3 linked regions of the Oryzias latipes genome follow. Each later gene encodes a partner of the first gene's protein in a complex. Links are inferred from orthologs where the notes say so. Each region holds a gene or a part of one and is shown in the gene's direction. Other genes may lie near its edges.

The links.
Region 2: the proteins of siah1 (region 1) and cacybp are in contact, whole or in part, in a crystal structure (PDB 2A25), measured with the Homo sapiens proteins. The link is inferred for Oryzias latipes from reciprocal best matches to the Homo sapiens genes SIAH1 and CACYBP. Residues at the interface, in NP_003022.3 of Homo sapiens: Leu158, Gln159, Asp162, Ile163, Val164, Phe165, Leu166, Ala167, Thr168, Val176, Asp177, Trp178, Val179, Met180, Asn276; in NP_055227.1 of Homo sapiens: Lys59, Pro60, Ala61, Ala62, Val63, Val64, Ala65, Pro66, Ile67.
Region 3: the proteins of siah1 (region 1) and usp19 are in contact, whole or in part, in a crystal structure (PDB 4X3G), measured with the Homo sapiens proteins. The link is inferred for Oryzias latipes from reciprocal best matches to the Homo sapiens genes SIAH1 and USP19. Residues at the interface, in NP_003022.3 of Homo sapiens: Cys130, Pro131, Thr156, Leu158, Gln159, Asp162, Ile163, Val164, Phe165, Leu166, Ala167, Thr168, Leu172, Val176, Asp177, Trp178, Val179, Met180, Asn276; in NP_006668.1 of Homo sapiens: Lys463, Pro464, Thr465, Cys466, Met467, Val468, Pro469, Pro470, Met471.

What each region holds. Positions count from the first base shown.
Region 1 is NC_019864.2:25,280,147-25,289,683, reverse strand, and holds siah1 (E3 ubiquitin-protein ligase SIAH1), read left to right. Parts: upstream 1-428; 5' UTR 429-1,351; coding exon 1,352-1,469; intron 1,470-2,978; coding exon 2,979-3,035; intron 3,036-5,402; coding exon 5,403-5,584; intron 5,585-5,651; coding exon 5,652-5,948; intron 5,949-6,170; coding exon 6,171-6,542; 3' UTR 6,543-7,696; downstream 7,697-9,537. UniProt on the Homo sapiens protein: E3 ubiquitin-protein ligase that mediates ubiquitination and subsequent proteasomal degradation of target proteins.
Region 2 is NC_019875.2:24,406,298-24,417,650, reverse strand, and holds cacybp (calcyclin-binding protein), read left to right. Parts: upstream 1-4,656; 5' UTR 4,657-4,769; coding exon 4,770-4,787; intron 4,788-5,661; coding exon 5,662-5,872; intron 5,873-5,969; coding exon 5,970-6,066; intron 6,067-6,145; coding exon 6,146-6,245; intron 6,246-6,584; coding exon 6,585-6,679; intron 6,680-7,725; coding exon 7,726-7,888; 3' UTR 7,889-8,621; downstream 8,622-11,353. Other genes in the region: mrps14 (28S ribosomal protein S14, mitochondrial), read left to right, coding at 2,483-2,551, 3,487-3,651, 3,839-4,021; serine/threonine-protein kinase PLK3, read left to right, coding at 9,290-9,505, 10,339-10,446, 10,536-10,652, 11,003-11,132, 11,242-11,329. UniProt on the Homo sapiens protein: May be involved in calcium-dependent ubiquitination and subsequent proteasomal degradation of target proteins. Probably serves as a molecular bridge in ubiquitin E3 complexes. Participates in the ubiquitin-mediated degradation of beta-catenin (CTNNB1).
Region 3 is NC_019865.2:4,248,292-4,258,944, reverse strand, and holds the end of usp19 (ubiquitin carboxyl-terminal hydrolase 19), read left to right. Parts: intron 1-267; coding exon 268-509; intron 510-617; coding exon 618-810; intron 811-1,417; coding exon 1,418-1,551; intron 1,552-2,194; coding exon 2,195-2,353; intron 2,354-2,432; coding exon 2,433-2,543; intron 2,544-2,636; coding exon 2,637-2,747; intron 2,748-2,842; coding exon 2,843-2,944; intron 2,945-3,033; coding exon 3,034-3,174; intron 3,175-3,255; coding exon 3,256-3,374; intron 3,375-3,460; coding exon 3,461-3,604; intron 3,605-4,115; coding exon 4,116-4,471; intron 4,472-4,550; coding exon 4,551-4,661; intron 4,662-4,753; coding exon 4,754-4,970; intron 4,971-5,287; coding exon 5,288-5,440; intron 5,441-5,976; coding exon 5,977-6,143; intron 6,144-6,664; coding exon 6,665-6,840; intron 6,841-9,246; coding exon 9,247-9,510; 3' UTR 9,511-10,521; downstream 10,522-10,653. UniProt on the Homo sapiens protein: Deubiquitinating enzyme that regulates the degradation of various proteins by removing ubiquitin moieties, thereby preventing their proteasomal degradation. Stabilizes RNF123, which promotes CDKN1B degradation and contributes to cell proliferation.

The sequences.
Region 1 (9,537 bases):
CTGAGTCTGAGGGGGCGAAAAAATCCTTCCGGCTTAGCATACGGTGGGCAAGGAATTCCACAGATTTGGTCCATGTGGAAATGAAGCACAAAGAAAAGCTTCTCCTCTTTGTCCTCTCGTGAGCAGATGTTGACTCTGGGATGTGCTGCATCTTCAGCATCGATGCTCCGAACGGTAAACGCTGAGCGAGCTTTTCACATACCTAGAGTGCTTCTCAAAAACAGGAAGAGCACTTTGAGAAGGTGAGACGCTGCTGTAGAGTGTGTAAGTAAGTTATGCTGAAGAGCAAATGTGAGCCAGAGAACGCAGCCCTGTGTTCTCTGGCTCACATTTAAAACGTGGACAGAGGAGAAACGGGCTGCACTAAAGGAGAAAGGAGGTATGAAGTCAGAGGGGTCAGCTGGTGCTGCAGCTTACAGCTATACCAGCTGAAATCTGAGACTTGCACAACCACAGTGAGGCGGAGGGAGGGGGCAGAGGGAGGAAGAATGTCCAGCCTGGAGAAAGAAGGCAAACTGCAGGCTTTCAGAGGACACGAGGCTGCAGGAGCAGCAGGGAGATGCAGCTGGAGCTGAGCTGAGACATGTGAGGGCTGAGCCTGCAGAGACAAAGATAAAGACTCGCGCTGGATGCGGACTTTAGCTCTGTGTTTCAGACAAACACAGCCAGTGGCGCTGACACCGACCACGCTCCCCAGGACAAAGAACATCACTGAAATCCAAACCGAGAAGAAAGTGAAGGGGGAGACTTCACACTGGATTTTTTTCTTCTTCTTTCATTTCCTCTCGGGGAGCCAAGGTTAGGTTTCTGAGCTGGGGCTCTCTTGTTTTGAGGATTTTTCTTTTGCAAACTTGCACTTTTTTTTGACTCCTCTTTCTATACCTGCTAACCAACCGCCCCGTGGAATGTCAAATAGTTCCTGAGTGGAGAAACTGGATAATTACCCAGTGTTGGTGAAGCTCTAATGACTCTCCTAAACTGCCTCCCGTTTCCTGTGCAGACTGGCGAGTTGATTAACCCTTTAGCCTGCCTGGCTGCTGTCCGGGCTCCTTCTGTTGCTTCTGCAGTGGAGTCGCTCAAACACCCTGGACTCTGACGTTTTCCCGCTGTTAAGGATCTGCTGGTGTTTGTTTGGACACAACCCTCGTTCTGGATCTGCTGCAGAACTCCAGCCGCTCAGAAGCTTGTACTTTCCAAGGGGAGAGGGGTGGGGGCGGGGGCGGGGGTGGCAGGAGGGGAAATATGATCCAGTATTTGGAGGAATGCGTAGAGCTCCAGCAGCAGTGTGTGGTTTCCATGGAAAAGGCCTGAGCAGCGTGGCACAGAGGGGCTGCATACATGCTTTACCTCTATGTCTGTGGTCCAAGTGAAATCCAAGCAGACAAGTGTAGCTCCACAAGCTCCACCCTGGAACTCCCTGTTCAGGCTGCTCTCATGCGTAGCAACCAGGAATGTGCACAACACTAAAGGTGAAGCGCGTCGATCCTCACCAGCTCCATGTTTCTGCCCAAGGTGGCTTGAATTGGCACTTTGTGTGCAGGGGGCCGTGTTGGCACACCGATGCTGTGCGTGACGTGGGCGAGCACAGAAGATGCTTTTAACCGTTTCCCTGCGTACATTATGTTGCACTGTTTTAACGTGGATTAACGTTTGTGTTGAATCCCCCTTCACCTGTCCTGATGTTCCTCTGTTTAGTTTTGTCATTCAGGATATTTAATTTCTTATCATAGAAGAGAAAAGGGAACGACGGGAATGTTTTCTTCACAAATAGCACTTTTGAACATTTATTAAAACTAATTTGCTTTTTAAATATTCATTTTGTGTGTTTATGTTTTGGTCCTTTAAGGGCCTATACCAGGCTCTTCTTAAGCCTTTTATAGTAAAAAATATATATATCCATGTATATGATGATATATTTTGGGACACAAAAGAACATTTCTTTTAAAATTAAATATTAGTTATTTTCCTGAGTTCTTTTCCAATCAGGAAGTAGGACGACTCCATCTCTGAGGCTCCGCCTCTCGCTCTGTGATGCACAAAAGATGTTCTTGTTTTCTGTCAAAAGATTCATCACATAGTTGAAGGATTCAATATATACAAAAAAATGTACAATTTGTATTTACTCAACATTGTATTTAGGTTTCTGCTTGGTTTCTTAAATAACATCAATTAAAAATAATAATAATTTCCAATCTTTTGAGAAAAATATCCAATCTCTTAATTAATGAAACTATTTCTAGATTATATTTCTTCAGCTTCTAAAAGGGAAATGGTTTTCTTTTGCGATGCGTTTAAAGATTGTTGAGCCTCCATGAGGTTCATGGAGGCAGAAGCTGTTGGTGAAACAGACTTTTTGGTCTGTTTGCAACCAAACCATTGGCAGAACAAAGACAGGAAGATGTTTATGGTTTATGGTTTCCTTCATCGTTGGTGTTCACCTTCACGCCCCGAACCATCGATGGTCTTATCCGTCTACCTGTTCCCACACCGTAGCCCTGTTTTCTGCCTATGTTTGTAGACGAGACGGTTTATGTGGAGATGAATTTTTAGTTTCAAAAAGCAGCTTCCTGTGTTTGCGAGTTCTGTTTCCACACAGAAGGAGACATTGTACGTCGTTTTAACAGAAACCTCAAATCAAATGTGATGCAATCGTGTCCAGGAATAATTTGCTTTGTGTAGATTTTGTTCAGCTGAAGACAAACGGGTTTCACTCGTCAACCTTTAGTCCAGAAATGGACCAGACTTACTGAAATATGAATGAGTGGCTCTGCAGCAAAGCGTCCACACAGCAGAAATCTAAAGTGAGCACGCTCTGTGTCCTGCCCATCAAACACCGCCTCGGCGCCATCCGGCCCTCACGTCTGCCGGAACATCACAACAATCCGAGCCCACTTCTGTGTCTGACTGGAGAACAAAGCAGAACGTTCAGAACCAGCCTGTCGGGTTCTCATGTGCACTTCCTTTGTTTTCTCTTTCAGAGGTCCAAACATTTCAGGAGCAGACAGAAGCCTTATTTGGAAATCTTATGGACGAAGGTCAGTCTGTCTTGTCTGTCAATCTGTCTGTCTGTCTGTGTCTGAGTGGATCTGTTGGGGATTTGCTTTACATTTACAGGATCGATGGCAGCTTTGTTGGTTTTCCCATGTCTGCTGTAGTTTTGTGTGTGTGGGCTCAGACCTTTCTGTCGGGCTGATCAGCCGTCCCGCTGCAGGGCCCGGCCCACGCCGTCTTTATCTGGCAGCTCCTCGTCAGCTGGCACCGGGCGTGCCAACTGAACAAGTGATGCTATGTTTATCCAACACTGTTCAGCTCCTCGCTGCCAAAACGCCCCGACAGCAGGACCCACGACCGAGGTCCTTCCAGAAACGGGGCCCTGCGTCAACCCACCTAAGCCGAACCACTGAGTGCCTCCCAGAAATCTGATGTTTGATAACTGAAACCTCTCCCTCCAACGTCTTTTCACTCTTCTCTGCTGTCAAGCAGAAGAGAGTTTCAGCGTGTGACCTCATCGCTGCACTGGAACGTTCTCCTCACACAAACGCTTTCTGTCCGGCTAAAATAAGAACTTCTGTTTGGAGTAAACTTCTGCAGAGTGTTTGTCACTCACATGTTGGAGGCACCGTCTCAGGTTTCCCTTCTGTGTGCCGTCTGTAAACACCCCCCCCCCCCCCCCCCCCAACACGCACGTCAGAGATTTGCATCCTAAGCCAAATCAGTCCCACTGCTCCTGCTAGCATGCTAATAATAACTGATTAGCTAACTTCATGTTCAAGGATTTTTCATCCCTATAAACCATGATGACATCAGAAAACATCAGACATGTGTTCTGTGGTCTGAGTTCTTCTGGGTAAATAAATGTCTTTCTCCTTTTCAACACAGATCTTGAGTGTTTAAAGAGCCTCGAACTTTATTAACAAATACAGAGCTGGAATTTATGTTCAGTGTAGAAAAAGAAAAAGAAACATTCCTACGGTTGACGAGAATGTTGAAACAAAAAAAACAAGCATTTGTGGTACATAAATCTAATCAAGTGATCAACAAATCTGATTGAGATTTTTATTGATGGACGTCGGCGAGCATCCCTTCATCATTCTGTCTGCATCTTTTTTTCCCTAACAGTAGCATCCTCATCTCTGCTTTCTGTTCTTTCATCTGAGGGAACATCTGCACAGAACTGTGCTGTTCCCAAGGCAACAGACACAACATCACTGCTAAACTTTGAACACAACATTTTTTGTCAAATAGTGAAAACATTTGACTGAAACACTGACGTAAACGGCGGTAACATGTTTCTGAAATCTCTCCTCTTATACTCGAGGATTCAATTAATTCCAGACTTAAAAAAAACGGGAATTTCTGCTGTAGCTTTTGATTTTTATGCCTTAACAAAATGTTTAAGCTTAGAACCATTTTAAAGCTGGAATGAATGGAGTTCTTCCGTTTTATTATCTCTCCTTCACTGTTTTTCATTTTAGTCATCTGTCTCTAAAATAAATCATTTGTTAACCCTGGAACACTTTTGCTACAACAAGTCCCACCGTCCTTGTTGCCGGGTCATTTTTTCCCCAATATAATCATCCCAGCAAAAAGTACCAATCATAAAAAATAGATCAAAACATGACAACATGTGTTAAATTCAAGTGGTTTTCCTTTATTTTTATCTGTGGAATGTGTAACAAAATGAAAAAAAACAAACAAACATAGGATTTTTCCTAAAAATATGCTCAAAAATGACAGAAAAAATTGGGAATTTGAGAACAAAAAATGTCTAAACAATGATCCTAAAAACTTGGTCTTATGGGACATGTGAGCCTTCCCTGGTGAGGCGCAGACTGCTTGACACGTGACTTATTGAAGTTCATGGAAATAGTTTTGCACGGGTGAAAATCACCCTGCAATAGTGCTCTAGGGTGGAACTAGCATTTTGAACTTTTAATTCTTCATTTTGATGAATAAGCATCTAATTGTTTCCTTCTTTTTTTAGCATTCCTATAAAAAAAGTTTCACTTTTTCACAACAATTTGAATAAATACTCAAAAATGCCATTTTAAGCTTTTTTTTATGTCTTTTTTATCATCAGACGGATCCCTCAAGAAAATGTAAAAAAAAAAATAAAAATAAAAAAACTTTTTGTCAGAGTGAATCATTACCCAAGACATTCCTGTGTGCATTTTTTGTTGATTATCTAACTGGTGTAATGCAGCGTTATTTAAATATTCAGTACCTTATATCTGCATCTTTTCAGCTGATGTAGCTTCTCTCAACATTTATCAAATTTACTGCCAAAGGTTTGAGATTTTCTGTTTGCTCCTCATCGTTTCTGAATATTCAGATGAAATCCGTTTCAGATCTTCCCTCATCAGACCGCGCTTTGATCTCGGCTTTGTTCTTGTGTTCCTCAGAAATGAGTCGCCAGACCGCCACCGCGCTGCCCACTGGAACATCCAAGTGCCCCCCCTCTCAGCGCGTGCCCACCCTGTCGGGCACCACCGCCTCCAACAGTGACCTGGCCAGCCTGTTCGAGTGTCCCGTCTGCTTCGACTATGTCCTGCCCCCCATCCTCCAGTGCCAGTCGGGACACCTGGTACGTGCGAGTGAGGCTGAAGACGGACGTTTAGGAGGTGACACTAACGGGAGGTGCTCTGTTCCAGGTGTGCTCCAACTGTCGGCCCAAACTCACCTGCTGCCCCACCTGCAGAGGCCCGCTGGGCTCCATCAGGAACCTGGCCATGGAGAAGGTGGCCAACTCCGTCCTCTTTCCCTGCAAGTACGCCTCGTCAGGCTGCGAGGTCACGCTCCCCCACACCGACAAGACGGAGCACGAGGAGCTGTGCGAGTTCCGACCGTACTCCTGCCCCTGTCCCGGCGCCTCCTGCAAGTGGCAGGGCTCCCTGGACGCCGTGATGCCTCACCTGATGCATCAGCACAAGTCCATCACCACCCTGCAGGTGAGGCGCAGACGCCTTTGAGTTTATGACGGAAAGCTTCAGCTGCTGCCGCCGAAGAACAAAAGCTTCATCCGGTTGGAAAATGTTGTTTTAGGAAGAAACCTGGATTTACATTTCATTCAGTTGATCAGAACTTCTTGTTCAAATGAGTTTTAAAAGATCTGTTGCTGACTGGAGGCGGCGTGAGCGTCTGACTTGACCATGTCTCGTGTGTTTGCTCAGGGGGAGGACATCGTGTTCCTGGCGACAGACATCAACCTGCCCGGCGCCGTGGACTGGGTCATGATGCAGTCCTGCTTTGGCTTCCACTTCATGCTGGTCCTGGAGAAGCAGGAAAAGTACGATGGACATCAGCAGTTTTTCGCCATCGTCCAGCTCATTGGGACCCGGAAGCAGGCCGAGAACTTTGCATACCGGCTGGAGCTGAACGGGCACCGGCGCCGGCTGACCTGGGAGGCCACGCCGCGCTCCATCCACGAGGGCATCGCCACCGCCATCATGAACAGCGACTGCCTGGTGTTCGACACGTCGATCGCGCAGCTGTTTGCAGAGAACGGAAACCTGGGCATTAACGTCACCATCTCCATGTGCTAAAAACTCTGGGCGGGGCCAAACTCCTACAATGGTTGAGGCGTTTTTTTAAAAAGCAGGTCAAAGGGGTCGTGACCTCAGTGCCCTCGCCCACCTTTGTCTCCCCCGTTAACCGGACTGTCAGTCCAGCCATGTGTGGAGGAACGGGGGTGTCTGTCTGCCGTTATGGTTTTAGTGTCTCTTTCTGTTGTTGGCGCCCCCTTCAGTCCTGTTGGGACACTACAGTTCTGGAAGGAGCGGATCAAAGCTCCGGACTGATTCCTGCTCAGTGCTGAGCTAGCCGACCAGCTAGTTTTTGTTTGTTTCGACGGAGGACTGTGGCTGCTATCGACCCGCTCAAACTGGAACTGAGTCTATCACAGAAAACCTCGTTTGTCCTCACCTATAACTGACACGACCTCCGGCAGGCGGGACGACTGTAGCGTCCCACCACAGTCACAGTTCACCGGCGCTGGTCCGGTCTCTTCTGTTCCGTTCGAGTCCAGCCTAGGAAAATGCATCAGACGCTCATTAAACGCTCGACAGTAGTCAGACTGAACGGACTGAAGCCCAGGATGTACTGTTTTTGTTTTCTCAGCAGCATTTGCCTGTGCGTCCCCACACGGCCCACAGAGAAGGAAATCCACATTTCACCCGTCTTTCCTCTGTGCTTTTATTTTGTTAGTCCGTTTGTTTTAGACATTTTAGTTCCTGGATGAATGGCTGTGTGTGTGTTTGTCGTGTGCATGTTCGTACACCTTTTCTTTCTCCTCCCTGCACTCATCTCTGCGTCGCCCAGCCTGGAACACATCCCTTCCTACAGGTGAAAATGTTGCTATCATGATTTTCATTATTTTGTATTGAATTCCAAAAAAAAAAAAAAAAAAAAGAGAGAAACAAAATTTAAAAGGCAGTTGTTAAACGTGTGGCTAAACTTCAGTGTTTGTAGTTAAACAGAAAAAAGAGAATAGCGTTCTCGTTCTGAGGGTTTGTTTTTCTCCAGTGTTGGGTTGTTTTCCTCCGTCTGTTCTCTGTGTGGAAAGTTTTTTTTTCTCTGGGAGGAGGTGGTGCAGGTGGTGCTCCTCCGCCTGCAGTCTCAGTAAGTTTGCTGCTCTCCCTCAAGCTCTAAGACTTCTTTCTGTTTTCATTTGTCATTAAATAAATCTATCTTTTTCATAGCTGCTCCCTCTTCTTTCCTGTGTTCATCCTCAGCAGCCTCGTTTGTTTCAGAAGGTTGAGGGTTTGGACGCGTCCTGCCGTTCCTTTGAGGGGGAATTGAACCTCCAACACAGCAGGAGGAGTCAGGAGGACGCTCAGCTGTGGAAACGACGGCTGTGTCTGATTCCCTCCCTTCTAAAAAAAAAAACTTGAAACTGCAGGACTATGTAGTGGTCTGGATTGTAAAAGGAATTCTGACGCCATGTTTACTATTTTTTATTTTATTTTTTTTACGATAAATTACTTACTTTACTTACTTTTCTTTACATACTGATTTCCCAGAGTAAAAACCTAAAAAGAATGAACATTTATGAACCCACTGTGTTCTGATGACTTGGGTTATAAAATTTCATTTTCATAACCTTTTTAATATGAAAAAGTAATTCAAACGCATTGCATTGTGGTCCTTATTTGCCAATCTAGTGAGTGTTGATGCACACACTTTCTATTTTTATTTTTTTTTGGTAGAGACTTCTGGGATATTTTTTAGGGGACTGGATTTTGGAAGTGTGCATTCAGGCAGCTCTACAAAATGACAACTGCACCACATGAGCGGCGCCTCTCAAACGTTCTGGACTAAGTCAGGATGACATCACCCTTAGAAAAGTCTGGCCCCAAAAGTCGATTCAGTCCATTTTTTTTCGCTATATGGATGCTGCCATGTTGGAGACAGAAATCAGGGATTGGTCCGAGTTGGTCTGAGTCACTGTTTCTATGGCAACCACTCTACCTAATCAGAAGTGACCTTGTTGGAAGTCCACACCCATAACCTATTGGAAGGGGACTTGGAAGAATCTGTCAATGCTTTAACCCTTGTGCTATCCTATGGGGTCCAGATGACCCCACCCTTACATGGACGTGTTCTCCCTACCATGACAAAGGTGGAGAGGATTTCATGTAATCCATGGACACCAGTGAAGATCACAAATCATTAAAGAGAAAAGGTTCAGCGCACTGTCTAGTGGGTCTAGATGACCCCACTCCCAAAGTTAAAGTGTCTAGGATAGCACAAGGGTTACATTTTGGAGGTGGGGGCTAACAGGTATCACATACTTTATTTACGACATCTGATTCGTCAGTTTAACTTGCAATAAAGAAAAAATATTTGTAACCCTTGTGCTGTCCTAGGCACTTTAACATCTAGACCCACCAGACGGTGCGCTGAACCTTTTTTCTTCAATGATTTGTGATCTTCACTGGTGTCCATGGATTACATGAAATCTTTCCACCTTTGTCATGGTAGGGAGAACACGTCAATGTAAGGGTGGGGTCATAGGGTAGCACAAGGGGTAGCTGTTTATTTCTCAATAGGAGTCTATGGGATTTGGCTTCTTGGAGCCAGTATTTACTTCCTGTTTAGAACGTGAGGGGGAGGAGTCACTCATACAGTCCATGGAAGTAACACTTCCAACTGATTTCCCAAGGAGAGTCACAGCAGCCATGAGAAGCTGATGGGGGCGTGGCTATTCTGCATCGTTTCTCCTTCTTAAAGTTACATTGATAGAAAATCTCAGTTATAGTAAACAATTAAAAATAATTTATAAAACACTATAGGAATTAAAGTATTTCAGTGTTTACCACGTTTACTTTATTAAAGCAGTGAAAAGAAACAAGGACTTATGTAAGAAACTGCAGTTGAGTGGATTAAAATATTAAACTCACTATTATTGTAATTATTAGAGATTTATGAATCTAGGAGAAACTAAGATTTATTTAAACTTTTAAAATATCTAACCTGCAACAAACTATCATTAAAAGCATAGTATTTGGTGGAATGACCAACATTTTAGTTTCCAAAAAT
Region 2 (11,353 bases), on another chromosome or scaffold:
ATGCAGACCTTTGTTCCAAGCACATTTTCTGCCCATGTGATATTTCATAAAATAGTATTAATATCTGATAAGAGAAAATATATATTTATCTCCTTTGGTAGCATTTTAAGAGTGGAATGAAAGACCGCATGAAGGCTGAACATGCTGCCTTGAAACCCTTGTGCTATCCTAGGCACTTTAACATTGGGAGTTGGGTCATCTAGACCCACTAGACAGTGCTCTAACCCTTTTTTCTTCAATGATTTGTGATCTTCACTGGTGTCCATGGATTACATGAAATCTTTCCACCTTTATCCACCTTTGTCATAGTAGGGAGAACACGTCAATGTAAGGGTGGGGTCATCTAAGGTAGCACAAGGGTTACTTAATATGATTACATTTCTGTTTAAATGTATCATTAAGAGAGTGCGTGCATTTAAATGTTGTGTTTTTGCACACGTGCAGTACACAACCCATTCAGTTAATTTGCTATCACTGTGGAATGGAAACTGGAAAATTACATTCATTATATTGCTTAGAAAAGGTTGTCATGATCATATATCCCACTGTGAAGCTGTAATTGTTGATCAAAATATACTTTGGATTTCATTCTCTGTCGAAGCCAACTGGCCCCACGTGTGGAGGAATGTAAACGTATCTTCTGAGAGAGTGAAACTGTGCATTACTTGTTTGTTTAGTCTGTTCTGCAAGATGCTGTGGTTTGTGACCTGTCCTTCCACCCTAAGTTACATGGTGTCACGGTGCTGACCGTCCTCACTTGACTGCTGTCAGTTTTATAGATGAGGTTAGCAGTCTGAGTAATCTCCGCTGAACTCACAAACACACCAGTCTGACATAGTGTGACTTTAGTGTAAAAACGTCTTTCTGAGGTCTTGGAACATCAGTGCACAATTGTGGTGTAAGATTTGAGTACAAGGTACTTTAGTCTTGGACCTTGAGAAGTCCCAGTTTGGGGAAATGTTCTCCTTTGAACATTCATATGTTTTGAAGCCACAGCGGGATGCTTGAAAGCATCAAACGACACATCCTCAAAGCTGCTTGTTCTGTCTGTGTACAGATGTTCTTTGTATTTTGTCTGATGCTGTTGCTGAATTTAATCAGATAAAGGATTGTTTACCCAAATAGGGCTTAAAAATAGGGATAAATCAAAAGTTTAAACCAAGGATGCTGAAAGGCTTGCAGCAGAGAGGTACACTTTTAATCAACCACAGCAAAACCCAGTTCCTGCTTTCAAAGGTTTAAGAAAATTTGTCGAAAATCTCTTGTTTCTCTGTCCTTGAGGGATGCATCTAAGACCCATGGCTGTCCTCAATATTTACATAATAAGGAATAACTTCACAAACTTCTGGTCTTCTTGGTGAACCCAAAATAGTTCCTTTAAAAGTCTGAACTGAGTACTAGACCTTGAGGAACAAAACAACAGCAAATAAACTATATATTATTCTAGACGATGCCGTTATTTTTTTAATTTTAATAAGAATATTTGTCCATTTCAAGAACCAGTAACTTCCTTATAAAATATTTTTTGCCATTATGGCAAACTTAAGTCAGACATTTAGATTTCATTTAAATCCAAATAAAAAAAAATATTTGACACGTTGCTACATCCTCAATGAAAAGTGTAAAATGTAGTCAGTTGCAGACAACAGAGATGAACTGGTTTCTCTTGTTCAATTTTCAAATTCCTTTGCAGCTTTTACAGCCACAAAATGTTCCTTTTTATAGAGGAAGCACTCCCAAACCTCATGTGTTAATACTTAACCATGAACGCATCCCCTACAGGCTCTAAAATAACGAGAATTGTTTAATAGAATCAGCTTCTGTTGTTTATCTGCATCCATGTATTTTTTTTTTTTTTACCCTTCAAGGTTTTAAAACAGCTGGGCATCCTGCTGAAGCTCAGATGTTTGGGATTCTGTTGGATACCAAATAATACCAATAATAACAATAATAATAATAATAATACGAAACTGCTGAATTTAAGTTTAATGAAATGTATTTATCATTTTTTCATTACAAAATTATAATAACTTGAGATTTGTGAAGGTTTGAAAACAGAAGCGCTACACTGCCACCTACTGGTAGGATTGTCACATTGGTCTTGTAATTTTTTCTTATCTTCACCATAAAATGTGTTGTTTAAATGTGTTTTGACAAGTTTCTATCATAGTAAAGCTTGCTTTCCAATTCAAAACATTAAAAAGAAATGTAGAATCAACATGTTTTTATATGTTTTATATTCCCACTAAACCTAACTTAATAGTTGAAAATTGAGCTATGACTATCAATAAAAATTTAAGAACATATTATTGGTTAGTGTGCATTTTTCAGACATATTTTACCGTCATGGTTATTTAATTCTTAAAGATTACAACGGCTCTGGTTTTTGTTGTGCGCCCTCCTGGTCGTTAGGTGGCGACACTTTCAGCCTCACCATGGTCATATCCTGCTCACGTCGTGAAGAGGACACTCTTAAACCAATATGGCGGCCCGCCGGCTAACATGTTTGGGGTTAAATGCCGTTTATTCTACAGTCTTCTCACCAAATCAGGTAAAGGTCACGTATTAACGTTTTGACCTATGTTTTTTTTTTTTTTTTGTAAAATCGCCCCATGTAGTTTCAAATAAAGGGTGCAAAAACTCTTTTTGACCTGGACTATGTTAGCTAACTCGGAGACATAAAATTGCTGCGAAATTTAACTTTAATAATAAATTCCTTTACTGTTCAAATTGTGTTGAGGAGGATAGACAGTAATTGAGAGTAACTTTATCTTAAAACTGTTGTAGAATAGAGACTGACATTTTTGTATAAAGTTAACATATTGTGAACATCGACTGACATTATTATGACCTCTCCCTTTGCTGCGTTTTCTGCAGACGGTACAGGCAGCTCTCATTACATTTCTGATAAACCAATTAGTCAGAGCCTGCGTTTGCATCAGGGTTCGACATTGACTTATCCGACATTATGACAAACATGATTAAAAAAAACACGTTAAGAACATTTATGGAAAAAGTAGAGATATTTGTATTCATTAAACCAATGATGAAGCAGTGAACCAAATACACTTCTCTCTGTCAGTGGTCAATTTGTAATACTAAATTTTATATTCTTGGTCTTAAAAAGCCTAAAACATTTACATTTTTTTAATCTTTTACATTACTGTTTTTTTAAAGATGGTCCGATTTACATGACCTACTATCTTGTTTTGGTGTACTCTATAAGCTGCTATAACAGTGTTAGTTTAACTGTGCCAAAGCAATAAAAAAAGAGATTATTGGACCACTTGTTTCAAGCCCGCAAAATGAGAAGGAATTATTTTTAAACTGATGATCGCAAACAGACTTCTTTTACAATATTTTGTCAAGCACCTCTTGCATTACAGAACTAAGATCAAGTGAAAACTTAAAACCAGAGAAAATAGATTGCAAATGTGTGGTAAATGGAGAGAAACCTGTCAGAAACTTGATGTGTGTTGTGTGCAGGCACTAAGAAGCTGCTGGGGAGCTGTGGAGCAGATGAGAAGCTATTATGTTGACTGGAGGATGCTGAGGGACGTCAAAAGAAGACAGATGGCCTTCGATTATGCAGATGAAAGGCTACGGATCAATGCATTAAGAAAGAATACTATCCTGCCTAAAGAGCTTCAGGTAGGCTCCAGCTTCCTATTTACAACTAGTTCCTCATTGTGCCACACCATAAGTTTGACAGTATGCTCTTATTATTTAAAGAGTCACGATTTTACAAAAGTTCTAGTTGCACACACAATATATGTCAAACAGCTGAAAGTACACCAGTAGCGGACAATCCCTAAACCCTGTCTAATTGTCTTCATAGGAGATAGCAGACAAAGAAATTGCAGCACTCCCGAGAGATAGCTGCCCTGTGAGGATACGCAACAGGTGTGTGATGACTTCCCGGCCCCGAGGAGTGAAGCGGAGGTGGCGACTGAGTCGAATTGTATTCCGACACCTAGCTGACCACAACCAGATGTCAGGGATTCTCAGGGCAAGGTGGTGAATGTGGTCTATTGGATTCGTCTGTAAGATTGTGTGTTAACAAAGCAATGCAGGTTGCAGATTTCTAGAATGTTGTGTGAACTTAAAGAAGTAATGCAAATATTGAGTATTTAAGCTCGACTAAGAGTAAAAAAAAACAAAACATAATAAATATTGTTGTACAAAAGTGTCCTGTTTTTTTTTTCCTTCTTTTTTATGTGGTGGTAATAAACACAAACACTGTGTTTATTGTGGAGAAAAATGCTTCTGAATGATCTACTGATGTGAAAAGTTAAAGCCATCATTAAGCATTCATGTGCTGTGTAATTTTCAACACGGCTGTTTGAAGCTTCACAGTGTTATTAAAGGATTAATTTATGGTGTTTAATTTGAACATGATGGTATTTCTAAAAAAAAATAAATAAAGTGTCCCAGTGATACAAGTTGCTAAATGTTTTTGTTGTCAGGTCATATACTCACCCTAAATAGAAATAGCTGCTTTAAAATAAAATAAAAAATAACTCGTGAGTATAAATATTGCCACTAGTAATTTACAGTACGTAAAATCTGCTAAATTTAAAATAAATATATCTTACTGTTGTGTATTGTTCTGATCTTACTTATTCCAACCACTGGGTGGCAGTAATGAGATTAAAGGAACTTTTAACAGCAGGAAATAATTCTAAAGAGGGCCAAACCAAATTGTTAGAACTCCTCACTGCGAAGAGCTGTGCTGCTTGACAAAACTGAGTGGAATTTGAAGAACCAGAATGGATCTAACGGAACAGGTAAGAAACATGTCTTGGCCAAAGTATTATTTTAGAAGAAAAAATCATTGTCTATTTGGATGAGTTTGTTAAATTTACGTCGGTCTCAATAGTTGGGCGATGTGTTGTGTTAGCTGTCGGTTAGCCGCTTGCCCTTAACGGATTTTTTTGTATGCTTTGCTTTGTTTCTTTCTGTCTGTATATTTTTTTAGACGATTGTTTGAAAAGCTTGTTTAGTTTGTCACAGTGACAAACGTTGAGGGCGAGAAAAGTCCCTGTGATGATTGACGTTCAGTTGTGCTCATGAAGTTTACTAGAACCTTCTAGCAACATCACGCTCGCGGGTTCTGCGCTACACTTCCTTCGGAGTTGCTTTATAGCATTTTAAATGATAGAAAAACGATTGAAAGCGACAATATCTCAATTCCTATTGGATGCTATTGAATATCCTTACTCGTAAATGTTGAGGTTTATTTTATTATATGTCGTGATAATTAAACTTAAGTCATAATAGAGCCATGCTTTGCTTTGGTTTTTATATTTTGATTAAAATCATGTGAGTTTTGCTTTTAATTAATGCTTTTTTATGTTTTTAGGTGAATTTCTTAATCATGTCTTTGCATAAATGTGTTTAATCGAACAGTGTACGTTAAAACATTTCCATAAGGGACTTGCAGATCTCATCATTAGCAGTTCACACATTTGAATTGGTTCTTAACTGACTTAAGTAAAGGTTAGATGTAGAATTTCCAGTCAGGAAAATGAAACTTTTAAATTGTACTGTTTTAGAAGAAGCTATATATAAGTTAAATAAATAAATAAAACAGACTTGATACAAATAGTTTGCTTCATCAAGATCAGCTTGTGCAGTGGTTGTTCCTCATTTTTCTAACAGATCAGTCAGCTGGAAGCAGACTTGCAGGAGCTTAGTTCCCTCCTGGAGAAGTCTGAGAGGAAAAGGGTGCAGGAGCTGCTGAAACAGGAGCAGAGGAAAGTGGAAAAAGAGCTTGCAACGAAACGACATCAGCAGGAGCAGCAGGCTAAGAGAGAAGCCGATCCAACAGCAGGCTCTAAAGCACCATACACAACTAAAATCACCAACTATGGTATGGAGCATGTTTGAGAGATTACAAGTGTTTGGAACTAAAAAAAAAAAAGAAAGATTTGAAGAATTGTTTGTGGTTTTATCTTTTGTATCTGTAGCATGGGACCAGTCAGACAAATTTGTTAAAATTTACCTGGATTTGAAAGGTGTTGACAAAATCCCAGCAGAAAATGTTGAAGTCAACTTCACTGAAAGGTAAATCCACTTATCTTACAGTTTTGTAAGGAGCATTCATACATTTTTTTATGCTAAGCCTAATTTTGTCTTGGTTCAGGTCTTTCTCTGTTTTGGTAAAGAATCTAAATGGGAAAAATCACCAGATGTCAGTGCTCAACTTGTTACATCCAATTGATGAAAAGGACAGCTACAAAAAGGTGAGTCACTTTTTCTCTTGTCCTTTAAATGTTCCTCCAGTGTTTGTTTGAACCAGTAGCACCATGTTTTTGTTTTTGAAAAAAGTATTCTTTGCAAAATTTGGTACCAAAATGTCAGCCCCCTTTTTTTTTCTTTCTTTTTTTATCAAAAAACCTTCCCAGTTTTCATACTCTTCCGAATCAGCAAACAAAAAACCAACAAAGGATTTTGGAACCTAAAAATTTGCTCACTGAATTTTTTGGATTACATATCCATTTATTCGGCATATATGTCCCCTTTGTTTTTACAATTGTATTTTTTCTATGTCACTAATTTCTTACTACTTTTTTTTGCAACAGATCAAAACAGACATGGTCTTGATCATGTGTAAGAAACAGGCCACAAAGAAGTGGGACTGTCTAACAGCAGTGGAAAAGCAGTCCAAAGAAAAAGAGTAAGTTCAGAATAAACCTCTTTTTTAATAACTAAATGTGTTTTTCATTAATGTTTAGCTGGAAACACAACAATGTTTGGCCAGTTTAATGTTGGGCAATATAGAGGAAATGTATTTATCAAGTCAAGGTTTCTACATAAAGTCTAAAGAAAAAAGTCATTATAAAAAAGGTCTGTAGATTTTTACAGGAGACATAGATTGAATAGAACAAAGTTGCTGACATGTGAAAAGGTGCTTCTGATGAATGAAAATTGGATAAAAGCTAAATTACAATCCTTTGTGAGAAGACTAAAGCACTGGGTCAACTCAATTCAGGCTCTGGTTATGCTTCAGGACAAAAAAATTTTATCATATTTTGTTTTTAAATTAAATCTTGAACCATTTTATATTTATTTTTACTACATAGGAGTATTAGTTTCTTATCAGAGACCTTTATTATTTAGTTTTCCTTTTGAAAAATGTCCTAAATGTCCTGTTTTTACAAGTTATCACAAATCAGAAACAACTACCACAAACAAGCAGCATTGTTTTGTTTTGTTTTATTGCCATTCTCTATATAAAATCTACAGACATTTTTAGCAGACTTAGAACTTTTCATTTTGGTGTAGGACCCAGTAAATTTAAGACCTTTTCCCGAACTATTAAAGTGGAAGTTCAAGAAAAAAAGAGGCTATTTGTAGCCTCATTGGACCTTTAAGGTGTGGCAGATAAATATAGCAAAACAAAATAACACAACTGCCCAGAAAATGTGTTTTTATAAGTAAAGTAACATTATGGGGCCTGGTGCCAAGTGACCCACAGACTGTTACCAGTCTGTAAAGATACGCTAACCTGATTCAATGACCAATAAAATAAGGAAAATAAAATTAAGTGCCATAACACACATTAAAGCTGTAAAAGTGGGGAAACTTCAAGTTTTTTATTGAAATACTTATCACACATGTATTAATTCAAGGATCTTCTCGGGGTTGATAGTACATGACCCTTTCCTTGCAGCCGTGAAAATATTCCCACATGAATGTTGTTGTTTTTTTCCCTCTCAACAGTAAACCCAGTGCTGAGGATAATGCAGACCCAGGTGATGGCTTAATGAAAATGCTGAAAAAGATTTACGAAGAAGGAGATGACGAGATGAAGAGAACCATCAACAAAGCTTGGTCAGAGTCCCAGGAGAAGAAGTTTCGAGGAGAGGAAACGATGGACATTTAAATTTTGCAGTTTTTGTTTCGATCTTGAGTTTAAAAGTTAGAGTTAAAGGATCATATACCTAATGTGATGCAAACATGGAAACATTTTTGTCTGGCACCTGAAGTTATTATGGGCAGAAAGGAGTTCTGTCCACCAGATGGCGCTAAAATCAAACCTATCATCTTTTGGTTTAAGATCTGAAGTAATGGAAATGTAATGTTAGATCAGATATCAAAGACGTTCCATCTTGTTCCTAAAGGGTTTTTCACATATGTAAATGTACTTTTTATTTTATGGTAATTCTATAAATGGATCAAATGGGTTTCAAAGACACTGATAAGCTTTTATTGCCATAATCCAAATTATTGCATGAGTCTGATAATTGTTGTATGTTTACACATCATGCTTCCACAAATTGGTAATGTGACCTGCAGGATTTCCACCATAGTCTGTATGTATGGTAGCAATAGTTTCATTTTCAATGGAAAATTGATCTCCTATACTGCTGAAATGCATTCCTCCAACTGAAGTTGTTTTTCCAATATTGATTTGTTCCAAAACTATTAACAAATATACCAGCTAAGATGAACTTTGTCTGTTTTTGTTACTTCTACATCCCAAAATCTTTATGTAATAATCAGTGGTCAATTATACTAATATATATTTATTCTTTTGAAATTATTTTATGCTAAAACATCAGTGTCATTTTACTTTTCTCCCAAAAACGAAAACAACCAATAAAATACTTTAAAACTAATAATGATGTATTTCAAAATAACTTAGTGTTGACTGCTGAGTCTTTATGTTTTAGTGTTTAAATTTATTAATTGATAAGTTAATTAGTATTTTTTATTTTGTAAATTTTTGTATTTTGTTTTGTAAATGAAAATCCTAGTTTTATTGGCACATTTTAGAATTCTTTTTCAGCTTTATAAAATAGAGACACAAAATGTGTGTGTAATCTTAAAGCTGAATGTTGTTGGTCTTTGGAAAACATGTCAAATTAAATCAAACTTTAGTTATAAAGTATATGTGTGGGCAGAAAAACTCGGCCTTCTGCATAAATCTTTTGAAAATCAGATTACTCACAGGTAATTTATAGTAATAATGAAAAATGTGTCAGTGCAGTGGAGCCTTGGTCTCATTCAGTTTCCCTGGGCCTCTGATACATCTTTGAGGGAGATCATGTCAGGACTAATCATTTGTACTTTCTAGTCCTTTGCGTCATCTAACTCCGCCCCCGGAAGTGTGACGTCGCCGCTCTGTCTATATAGAGGGCGGTCCGCTTCAAGAGAGCCAGATGAAAACCGTCATTGCGGATGCAGGGAGTGTGGTTCTTCGTAGCATCCGCCGACAACTAGAAAGGGATTTAAAAAGAAAGAAAACGCGAAAAGCGCCAAACGACAGTTGTCTCTGAGTTTAATGGATGCCGGCTGTGTGACCGCGGCGCACCGTGTTTCGTGCCACACCATGAATGCGGATTTATTTAAGCCCACACCGGAGCGTGGACCCCACCAGTCATCTGGCACGGCGAAAAATGCCCGGAATAAACCCGAACAGAGCAAACCGGAGCTGGCTCAGGTGGTGACGGACTCCAGGACGGGGAGATCCTACAGCAAAGGGAAGCTTTTGGGAAAGGTACGACGATTTGAGCTATTCATTTCAGAAGAAAAACCACCCTCCATGTGCTGCTGACTTCATGGATGGATCTAGAATCTGAATAAATTAGCAGCTCTGCATTTGACGGTCGCTAGTTTGAACAAACGTGGTTCTTAATGAAAATCGTCATCATGAGAGGGTTTTTTTCCAGGTGTGCTGAGTGTCTGCCCTGTGGATTTGATCATTCTGCGTGTCATTCATTGCTGAGTGATTTAGGCGCAAGGTGTGCCCGCCTATTGTATTGTGCGTGCGCGCGCTTAGCAACGTCTCGTTACAACATATAATAAAAAAAAAAGAGACATGTCGGTGATTTTTGTTGTTTTTAATTTTTTAATTTTTACTTGACACCCATCATCAGACGAACGATTCACCAAACTGGCAGACGGCCCTTATGATGATGCACCACTGCGTCCATGAATGAATGAATGAATGAATGAATGAATCTACGTGTTGCTTGACTCAGAGCCAGATCTTTATATTTATTTGTTTACCCCCTCCCGCCCCCTGCTGCTGCTGCTGCCGCAGGGCTGAAAGCGTCTCCGTCATTTTCATGGTTAATGGATGCAGCAGCTTCCCTCTTAAAGGGTGGGAATATGGGGATGGGAGGGTGGAGGCTTGACCGAATCACAAGAAAAAAAAACAGTTCTCAATTTCATCTTGGACTGAATGATGAAATATGCTTTTCAAAGGCATTTTTACAGACTTTTATTAAGAACTGCATTCCACCTCATTGATTATTCCTCTAAGGCCCTCAATGCAGTTTTTTTAATTGCTGTGAATCTTTACAAATATCTTTTTCTTTTTCTTTAAAGGGAGGTTTTGCTCGCTGCTATGAGATGACAGACCTGTCCAGTAACAAAATGTATGCCGTCAAGGTGATACCACAGAGCCGAGTGTCTAAACCACACCAGAGGGAGAAGGTGAATTAAAAAAAGCAGCGCTTTGCATCTGTCGGCCCTTAAACTTATATATCCTGCCAGAAACTGACCAGTTGTGAAATGTTTGACAGATCACAAATGAGATCGAGCTGCACAGAACCCTGGCACACAAGCATGTGGTGAAGTTCTCCCATTATTTTGAAGACCAAGAAAACATCTACATATTCCTGGAGCTCTGCAGTCGTAAGGTGAGACCTCACAGATCTCTTAAAAAAATGGTCAGCTTTCAGTTTGTCTGGTTAAACCACATGCAGTGGCACATTTGAATTCTTTTGTTCCTGTTTTAATTTTTCTAGATTAACCAGACTTTGCTTCTGCTTTGGGTATTTTAACTCAGAAATTGTAGATTTTTATTTTATGCAGCTTAGACCACTACACAATTGCTGAACAGACCCACAGGATTAAAGTAGCCATGTGTTACAGCCAACCGCTCACAGACGCTCATCTCTAACTCTTTGTTGCTGCAGAGAAATGTCTGTGTTGCAGTCCCAATGATGGGCGCAGGTCTGACATTTCCCTCATTGCTCTGTCTCTCCAGTCCCTCGCACACATTTGGAAGGCCAGGCACACACTGACAGAGCCCGAGGTGCGGTATTACCTCAGACAGATCATATCGGGTCTCAAGTACCTGCACAACAGAGGCATCCTGCACCGAGACCTCAAACTAGGTAATTGTCATGAGGCATGCGGGCAACAAGCATCCCAGGAATCTGCTGTGACTTTGGCTTCGTTTATGTTTGGAATGCTGACTGAAAAAAATCCACTTGTCTCTTTTAGGTAACTTCTTCATCAATGAGAACATGGATCTGCGGCTCGGAGACTTTGGTCTTGCTGCAAAGCTGGAGACTGTGGAACAGAGGAAGAAGTTAGTGTTTGATTATTTAGACAA
Region 3 (10,653 bases), on another chromosome or scaffold:
AACTGTAAAGTTTTGCGTTTATTTGGTTGTGAGAGACCCTTTTGAGCTGTTTTTAAAGCAATCCCAGTGGTCTTTTTATTTTATATCTGATGAAAATTACATGTTTGTGACATTTTTCTGATGGTGGAGGAATGTTAACCTTAAAATATTATTTCTGAGTATTTCTGTATCCAAATTGTTGTGAAACAGGAGCGGACGACAAAAAGGCAGTTTTTTCCATTTTTGGGCTCCGTTTTTCTAACCACAAGCTCTTGCCTCCTGTTTAAGGTGCAGTGGGTGGTGCTAAGGTGGCTGTGGCCTCCAGCCCCGCCTGCATGGACAAAAGCCAGCCAGGCAGCAGTCAGCACAGCCTCCCTGCCAAAGAGGAGCCCCCGAGAGTTGGGGAGGAGACGGCCAAGGCCCCCAAGGCCTCAAACAGAGGCGTGGAGGGAGGGGCTCTGGACAGCGTTGCACCTCGCTCCGTCTCTGAACACGTTGCCATCACCAAATCTGAGCCCGCCGTTACCGCGGTGAGTACGAAGTGAACATTTGGTGAGCAGTTCTCCTTTTTGAGGAAAGTGCTGCTCATTGCTCGTTTAAATAAGACATTTCGTTCAGACTCTTGCCTCCTGCTTCAGCCTAAACCCACCTGCATGGTCCAGCCTATGACGTACAGCCTTCCTGCCAGCATCGAGCGCCACGAAGAGGAGGAGGAGAAGAAGGTGTGCCTCCCCGGTTTCACGGGACTGGTCAACCTGGGCAACACCTGCTTCATGAACAGTGTGATCCAGTCCCTGTCGAACACCAGAGAACTCAGGGATTACTTTCACGGTAAACAAAGTTCATGTTTCCTCGCCTCCGTAAAAACGAGCTCGAGCTTTAGCGAGAACTCTGAAAGGCCGTCCGTCAGCCAGGTTTACCTCAGCTTGAGGCTTCACTCCAAAAAGAGGAAGACTAAGAATAGGAAAGGAACTCCAACCTCAAGAAGAAAATCACCTGAAAATAGTCAAATGATCTAACCATGCAGCAGACAGAGTTCCACACAAGCTTTCATAAAGGAAAAAATGTTTTACTAAAATGACTGAAACTTTGATATTATGTAGTTTTTTTGCTCATTTAAATCAAATAGTTTGCATTTTTTGATACTGTATTTTTTGTGAAAAAAAATGTAGTTTATGTTGATTGTTGATTGATTAGAATCTCGAATGTCTAAAAACAAAACTTTGAATCTTTGTGAGGATCAAATAGTTTGAAGTGTTCGAACCGGAAAACATGAAGGTCACCTCAACCCCGGAAGTGACCTTTTTATGGCAGTTTGGAAAATGCTTTTTCTGTGACGGCTGAACACGATTGAGTCAAAGCTGTAGAATCTATCATCCATTTGACCATGTTACATTTTTTTTTTGTCATTTAAATTTGTATCCCTTTGTCCTTCCAGACCGAGCGTTTGAGGCTGAGATCAACTGCAGCAACCCTCTGGGAACCGGAGGAAGGCTCGCCATCGGCTTCGCCGTGCTGCTCAGGGCTCTGTGGAAAGGGACTCATCACGCCTTCCAGCCCTCAAAACTCAAGGTGAGCCAGAACCACGGACCCTATCTGAGAACTGGACCGGTGCTCCAACCACATGAAGGCAATGCCGTCGCCATTGTCTCGCAGTATATGACATGTTGGAACCAAAAACTGTCAGCAAGCATAGTCGGTCTGAATCAACTTTTCCTTGCTAATCCCTTTCACCAATCAGGATTGAGCTTGTTGGAAGGCCACACCCCTATCACTTAAGCGGGCTGCCCGAAATGTCAATCAAATGTTTTAAATGCTGTGGGGACCATTAGGCTCCACCTATTTCTATTGATGCATCTGATTGGTCAGTTTATAACTTGAATAATAATATAAATAATAAAAAGAATAATACCATGATAAAAAGAGGATTATCAAGAAGATGTTGAAAAAATGTATCAGAGCAAGAATGGATATTATGGTTATTTATTTAATGGTTATTTAGATTAAATGTTTAAAAAAGGAAAAAGAATAATAAAGAAACTGTGTTTAAAATAGAACGAGAATCATGTTTTGCTCCTTTTTTCCACTAATGATGTCAAATCTTCCTCAAATAGAGCTTTTGAAAAAATCTCCAGCAAAAAAAAAAATTCCTTTTGAAATTCGTAAATGTTTTCCTTTTGATCTCGCCGCTCACACGGTCATTGTCTGCGTTTAGGCAATCGTGGCCAGCAAAGCCAGTCAGTTCACGGGTTACGCTCAGCACGACGCGCAGGAGTTCATGGCGTTCTTACTGGACGGGCTGCACGAAGACCTGAACCGCATCCAGAACAAACCGTACACGGAGACGGTGGACTCCGACGGACGGCTCGATGAGGTGGTGACGGCGGCGGAATCTGGGTTTGGGTTCAGTCAGAATCCGCTCTGACCTGGCGGTTGTTCATCTGTCGGTCTAGGTGGTGGCAGAAGAGGCGTGGCAGAGGCACAAGATGAGAAACGACTCCTTCATTGTCGACCTTTTCCAAGGCCAGTTCAAATCCAAACTCGTGTGTCCCATGTGTTCAAAGGTAATGTGCTATTCCTACAAAGAGACTCGGACAAGCTTTGCTTCACCTGGTCTGACATTCTGCCTGTTTTTTTTTTTGTTTTTTTTTTTTTAGGTTTCCATCACCTTTGACCCCTTCCTGTACCTGCCTGTTCCCCTTCCTCAAAAGCAAAAGGTTCTCTCCGTTTTCTTCTTTGCTAAGGAACCTCATAAGAAGCCCATCAAGGTGAGACCAGTCAGTTTCAGTGGGTTTTCCTGAACTTCTACCTTTTGTTGGAAACGGTGCAAACAACTCCTGCTTTTTTTGGGGGTTTCTTCTAGTTTTTGGTGAGCGTGAGCAAGGAGAACTCCAGCACAGCTGAGGTGCTGGAATCCATCTCCAGGAGCGTGAGGGTCAAACCCGAGAACCTCAGAATAGCAGAGGTTGGTCAGTTTGTGTCTTTTTTGCTCCATAAAAAAGAAAATCACAATTTGTTTTAGTCCAAAGAATCGAAGGAAATTTCCTCTTGTAGGTGAGCAAGAACCGCTTCCAGCGCATATTCCTGCCGTCCCAGTCTTTGGACACCGTGTCGCCCTCAGACATGCTGTTCTGCTTTGAGCTGCTCTCCAAAGATCTAGCCAAAGAGAGGGTGCTGTTGATCAAGGTGCACCAGGTAGGACATGGGCTGTTTTCGGGTTGTCTCCTGCATGACGGACAGCCGCAGAAACTCAATGGTCTCCTGATCATCTTCCAGAAACTTCAGGTGCCCAACACTCCCATCTCCAAGTGCGCCGCCTGCCTCAAGCCTCCGGTGTCTGAAGAAGACAAGCTGAAGCGCTGCATGCGCTGCTATCGAGTTGGCTACTGCAATCAGTGAGGAGCACCGGCGTTTTATTCTTGATTCCACTGTGAAGAAGTCAGAATCGTCACGTGGGTGGTTCCCGTTCTTCTCCTTTCAGAGTTTGTCAGAAGACGCACTGGCCCAGTCACAAAGGTCTGTGTCGGCCCAACTCTGAGAACGTGGGCCTGCCCTTCATGGTCAGTGTGCCGGAGTCTCGGCTCTCCTACGCCAGGCTGGCCCAGCTGCTGGAAGGTTACTCCAGGTACGTACTTTGCCAGAAAACTGCTTGTGAAGTGGATCAATTCAACCTCAATTTTAAAGACTCACTCTGATGAAAATTGTGTTTTTTATTTTCTCTTGTGGCATTTTTCTGATGATTGAGGAAGTAAAAAAAGAAAATTCCGACAAAAATGTCATTTTTGAGCATTTCTTCAATCAAATTATTGTCTGATGCATCCACTTACAGACAAATAGATCCATTTATGTTTTCCTCATCTGGATCGGAACGGTTTGGCTGGTTAGCTCCAATATTGCTCGCCATTAGAGACCACCGGTAACGCTTTAAAAATAGATCCAAAGATGATCTGAGTGGCACTTCAAAGTTTTCTTACAAGTATTTGTTGTTGTCTTTTTTAACCTTTTTGGTTTGGGAGAAATCTGTGTTTTGCTGATACTTGTATCAAAATTCAAACACATTTTCATCAATTACAAATATAAAAACTTATTTTTCCAATCAACCCACATCTCTTAAAAGGCTTCCTGACTTTCTGCAGGTTTTCAGTAAACGTGTTCCAGCCTCCTTTCCAGTCGGGCAGAGCATCTCCTGAAACCCCGCAGTCCCGGGTTGACCTCCCACCGATGACGGCGAGCTCTCCTGAGGCTCCTGGTTCTGGGGATGAAGCCGTGGGCGGCAGCAGTTCAGTGGGAGCGGCGGATCTGGAGCTGGACAGTCAATCCCTGGCAGACATTGCTCCGGCCTCGTCGATCCACCCTGAGGTCTCAGACTCGCTGTCCTCCTCCCGGACTAAAGATTCAGGCTTCTCAGAGTCAATCTCCTCCACCTCCTGCTGCTCTCTCGACCCCCATGCAGAAAAGGAGACATCCTGTGAAAAGACGGTGCGACCCGAAGGTAAAACGCTAATAGAAAATCTGTTTTTGTGATTTATATTTGCACAACCTGAAAAAAAAAGTTGTCTTTTCCTATGTAGCTGCAGTAACGGGGTATCAGCATTCGAGTGAATCTGCGTCTGGTCACGCCAGTCAGTTCTACATCGCACTGCTGGACTCCAACAACAAGGAGCAGAGGCTCGATGAGAAAGGTGCTGCCAGAATCCACGAGAGCCTCCACAGAAGCTTCAAACCGCCTTACTTACCAACTGTCCTCCCCCCCCCCCCCCCCCCCTCTCTGCAGAGGACGCTCTGGCGGATCTCCCCGAAGATGCCACTTTGGAACTGGTGTGGAAAAACAACGAGCGCCTCAAGGAGTACGTGCTGGTGAGCTCCAAGGAGCTGGAGTACGAGGAGGACCCGGGCTCCCTCAGCGAGACGGCCAGAGCGGGACACTTCACCCTCGAGCAGTGCCTGAATCTCTTCACCAAGCCGGAGGTGCTGGCGCCAGAGGAGGCCTGGTAGGAGTCCGGCTTCTGCTGTTAAAGACGAGAAGAACAGAAACACTCCAGGGGACGTTCATGTGTCCTGCCTGCTCCATCAAAAACTTATAGGACAGACTAAATTAAAATGATCCACACAAAAAACTTTAAATATCTGTAAAGTGGAAATGACTACAATCATTTATGTTTATGTTTTATGGTAAATTTGGGAAAAGAAAAGTTGTTTTCCTCTGAAAAAAAGGCTTTTAAAGTAGACAATGTTCACATTTTAGGCCTTAATATACAAACGAGTCTCTTCTTAAACATTTTTTTGTTCCTTGTGTGCATCTGCTTAGGTACTGTCCCAAGTGCCAGCAGCACCGCGAAGCTTCAAAGCAGCTGCTTCTGTGGCGTCTGCCCAACGTTCTGATCATCCAGCTCAAGCGCTTCTCCTTCAGAAGCTTCATCTGGAGGGACAAGATCAACGACATGGTCGATTTCCCCGTCAGGTAGGCCTGCACAATATACCGCAAATTTATTGTTATCGCGACATCAAGCTGTGCAATATGCATACCGCAAAAGACGGCAAAAATCGCAATAAATGGTTACCTTAAATGTGCCAAAACAAACTCATGGCAGCTTGAAATATTGAGCAAATGAAATAAATCCCTTTATGCATTTAACCAATCGGAAGGACCCGTTTACGTTGTTGATCAATCAGATGAGCCCTTTTATGTTTGATGTTTGCCTCCTATGTAGATGAGGGTCATTTGGAGTATAATTTTTAAACTGTTGCAGTGAAATGGAAATGATGTTTTTGGTTGTTTTGCTATTTGTTTATATACCGCGAATTATATCGTTATTTCAATATTAATCACCAATATCGCATATCGCGAGTTTTCCTCATATCGTGCAGCCCTACCGTCGGGTAACGCTCGCTCAGTTGTTTGTCCCTTCAACAAATCCTGTGTGTTGAAGACCTTCTGGATCATTCCATTCCATTCATCATTTTTTATTCTTTAAGTGACATGATTTTGTTTTCCAGAAATTTAGATTTGAGCAAGTTCTGTATCGGCCAAAAGGACGACATGCAGCAACCCCCCATCTATGACCTGTACGCTGTCATCAACCACTATGGAGGAATGATCGGAGGTCACTACACGGCGTACGCTCGACTGCCGAGCGACAAGAACAGCCAGCGCAGTGATGTTGGTGAGGCTGCGCTTTCTGAAGCAGGGGCGACAAACTTAGCATAGTGGCTGTCCTCAAAGGGCCAGATATAACCTCTAAATGTAACTAAACGTACTGAAAAATAAATGTAACTACTCCTCTTTGTTAAATAACTCATTATTTATTTATTATGACTTTTTTATAGGGACGATTACAGTTGCATAGAAAACATACGTTTGCTTGTTACTCTAGCATAAATCCTTTTAAATTAGATTCTGTCAGGTTAGGTTATATGGAAAGTGTTTAAGTCCTAATGTTTAGCTGCCCAATCAGATATTTCAAGTCCGATTCCCCCTAAATATGAATAAATACACACCAATATTTATCTTTTTATTTCAAGAAATTAAAAACCTTTATGCTCTCGTGGGCCATGTAAAATACTATGGCGGGCCACATTTGGCCCGCGGGCCTTAAGTTTGACACATGTGCTCTTAACGGGTTTTAATCTTGTCACCTAGCTTATGAGCGGCACCTTCTAACCGTGCGTCTCTGTGGTCCTGCAGGGTGGCGACTGTTTGACGACAGCACCGTAACGATGGTGGAGGAGAGCCAGGTGGTGACGCGATACGCCTACGTCCTGTTCTACCGCCGCCGGAACTCCCCCGTGGAGCGGCCGCCACGCTTCCTCAGACCTGTTGGAGCGGATTCACCTTCTGGCGCCGGGGCCACTGCCAGCCAGGTGAGGCACTGAGGCTTCAATCATCTGGCTTCATAATCTCAGGATTTTCTCTGCACTTTTGCCGTATTTGCTGCCGCGTTGGAAATGTACAGCAGCTTTCACTTCAGCGTCTCCTAACAGTTTAAGGATATTTGATCATAAGATTTATCTTTAAGAGGCCTTTACAGCAGCTGCTGCTGGGTTTAAAAGCAAGTAAAGACAATAGGGGATATGCACACGCTACCTCCACCTTCAATGTACAACCGCTCCGTCATTTCAGGTTTGGGGAGTCGACAGCGGAAACGATGCCGTTTTACATGGAAATGAGTCTTTAGAGTTTACCATTTCTTTTCTGAAGCTTTCTCAAGTCCCAATAAATGAAATTTGGCTCCAGAAGTGCATCAGGTGGACACATTGACTGTATAAGAGAACTGGACTGAACGAGTGTGATGTCACCCATAGACAATGGTTCCCACCAAATGAAGTGCTGTTTTTCCGCGATCTGTTTAGCGCTATAGTGGAACCAGGTCACCTCAGTAAGCAGGGGTTCAACATTTCTATGGCAAGCACTCTCCAAACAGGAGCAAGCATGTTAGAAGGCCACACCCATTCCACTGAAAACGGTTTGAACGCTCTGAACGTTTGACGCGAGGCCGCCTACTGTTATTGAGGCGTCTGATTGGTCTGTTTATCCAACAGCGTTCGAAAGAAGCTGTTATCCGGTTGTCCGAGACAACCTGAGTTCACGGAGGACAACCAAAAATGAACTTGCTGGTTGTCCGTGTGACAACCTGGTCTTTTATTCAACATATTGGTATTTTTTGACTATTTTTCAAGTTTCAAGGGTTAGTTTTTGGCAACCTCTGAATTGAGACGTATGCAGCAAATTCTTTCCACTGACAAACGTAGTGCGTGCATGCTAGCGAATCCTTTCTGTTTCTACATGTGTTCTTTTCAATAAAGATTATTCAAATAAATGTGTTGAACAACAGTACCTGGCGCGACCGCTAAAGGTCTCCAAAAACATGCAAAAAGATTTAAAATACATTCATAAACCCTACAACTTTCACTCATAAAAGAACAGACTGACATGTGCTGAAAAAAACCTTTTTCCATTGGATTGACATTAAACTCTAAATTTTCTACAGCAGTCTTTGTATTTTATATTCTTAAAGCAACAATTATCAAAATCAAAGAAAAACATGACTGTGTAACAGCTGTTTATTTCTCCATAGAAGTCTATGGGATTTTTGACTTTTTGGAGCCAGTGGGGTACTTCCTGTTTGGGATGCCAAGGGGGGAGGGGGTCACTCAGTCCAGTTCTCATATACAGTCAATGGATGGACATAACAAGTAGTTATGTAGTAATGTAAATAAAGGTGTCTAGACTCAAATTGACAGCAACTTGTCACGTAGACCTATATTTATCAAAACCTCAACACACACTACGTACTTGTGTTCCATCGCTATTTCGCGGATCTCCTTTCACAGTCTCTTGGATTTTTGTTTTTAGTTCAATTTTTCATGATCTTTCTCTTCATTCCTTAATTTTCTATAAAGGTTTGAACTTTAAAGGTTTAAGCAAGAGAGAAAAGTGTAAAAAGTGTCTAGTTAGGAGTTCTACAAAAAGCTCCTAGTCCACTCCTGTCAGTCGTCTCGGGCCGTTTGGTGGCTCGGATGGTTTCCAGACGCCGGGACGTTCGGCCGGAAGCGAGTTCCGTTCAAAAAGAACAGGGATGGCTCCTCCCCTGAAACGCCTGCGTCCATCAGGATTTGACGGCTCAATCGGCTCATCGGGAGTGAAATGAAAGCGATCTCGTGGAAAACGAATGTCTCACTTTCGCCGGTTCTCACCATCTTTTGGGAACGTGTGGAAAGTTGTATTTAGCTGATGCAGCGCACTCGGGGACTCGGCAAATACTAGCTTGTTTTGTTTTTTTAAATTAGGAAAACGCACAAAGAGAAACACTCAATGCAAAAAAAAAAAAAAAAAACAACTCAAACGAAAACCAATAATTACTTGGGGTCGTTTGTTTTTTGGAAATCATTGGGAAATGCAGTAAGAGAGGAAGTAACTCGGCGCAGTTCTGTGCATAGAGCCCTTTGGGGATCTCCAAAGCTCACCGGAGCCTTTTCTTCTCCCACTCTGACTCTTTCCTTAAGCAAAACAGGTTTACTTCCCAGATTTGCTGTGACTTTTGCTGGTGGTCTTTGCTGCTGGAATCATGTGACGCTGCTTTGCTCAGGTTCAGTCTTCGTCTCTGACAGACGGTTTCTGGACGAGTCTCCTCTGGAAGGAAAAGCGGCTCAAGTCCGTGTTTTAAATCGGCGCCCTCTGCTGGCTGTGACGAATGTTAGCGTTCACTTTTAGGGTTTATTAGAGCAGGCCTTCTCCCAGAAGCTGACACCAGTTTCCGCCAATCGCAGGCCTCTCTAATATGGCGGGAACTGGAGGAGGAGGAAGAGGAGGGGCTTGACGAAGAGCCCAGAGGGCTGTTCCGTTCTGTCCTGCGGCGACAAAGGAACAGAGAAGAGGACTACCGGACGGAGGGCCCAGTGCGACGGCAGCGGGTGTTGGATCATCCCGATGACTACTGTGTGCGATATTTCCTTCTGGGCACGCTCGCCGCCGTGCTCGCCGTCTTTGTTAACCTGGTCTACCCTTTTCTTTTCAAGGCCAGGTGGAGCTGAACCCATTGCTGTCTCAGGTTTGGCTCAACCTACTTTGGAAGATCAGGTTGTTGACTCGTTCAGAGGAAGATCTTGCTGCTTGACGGCGCTTGACCCGCCGGAAGCACAAAAAAAGTGACTGTAGATGCTGACCTCACTTGAAACATTTTTATTTTTAAAATGAGCGTATATATATATATATATAAAAGTCTATGAAATGTCCCTGAAAGTTTGTTTAATATATAAAAATTGAGTTTAAAACCACAAATATATAAACTAGACACAATTATGCTTGTGTGCGTTTAGCGGCACACCTGAAAAGCACAAAAGATGCAACATAAAGTTGACCAGTAGAGGCGCTGCAGAGCCTAAAGGCCTTAATTTACCTGTGGGTGTATCTGACGCCTGAAACCAGTCCGTCCTCTTTTTGTCCTTGCTGCTGCATGTTGAACATCAAAAGGGGCGGAGTCAGGAGCGAGAAAAGGGGATGTCAGAGTTTTACTCGCCTCTCCAACAAAACCGTAAACTACACAACAGCAGGTCAACACGAGGTCCCGTTGACCTCAGGTCAAAGAGCGGCGATAAAGGAAAATGGACATGAAATTTGTCACATAGAGAAAAACAAAATGTTCAAAATAACCAAAACCAAACTTTTATCGTGAAATCAGTTCAGCTTTTATTAAACTGAATTTGTCTTTCAGTTAAATCCATCCTTTAACTCTGGATCAATCCCAGCTGAGGCAAAGTCACGCCCTCTTTAAGCTGCTTTAACGCCATCAACATCCTTCTGACACGGGAAAAAAGCCAGGTCAGAATCAGCCGATTGGTGTGGATGGTGCGTGTGCTTCACTACTCTTCAGTGTTGCATATCAGCACAAAGCTGCTGGAATTACGATAATTGCACACATGGTTATGATGGTTAAAAAACATCAGCACCGGAGCTAAAGCTCTGGTGTAATATTGTGTACGCAAAGAATTGTGGACTTGGATTATTGTCTGTCCTTTTAGAAAGGATTCCTTACACCCCCCCCCCCCCACCCCCCCCCCCCAAGAAAATAACCTTAGAAGAGACTTCAGACGGACTTTTATCTCGTTGAACAAAAAGCCGACCTCTTCGTGATCCTCTTGCTTGCTCGCGTGTGTTGCTCCGCCCCTCGATGACGC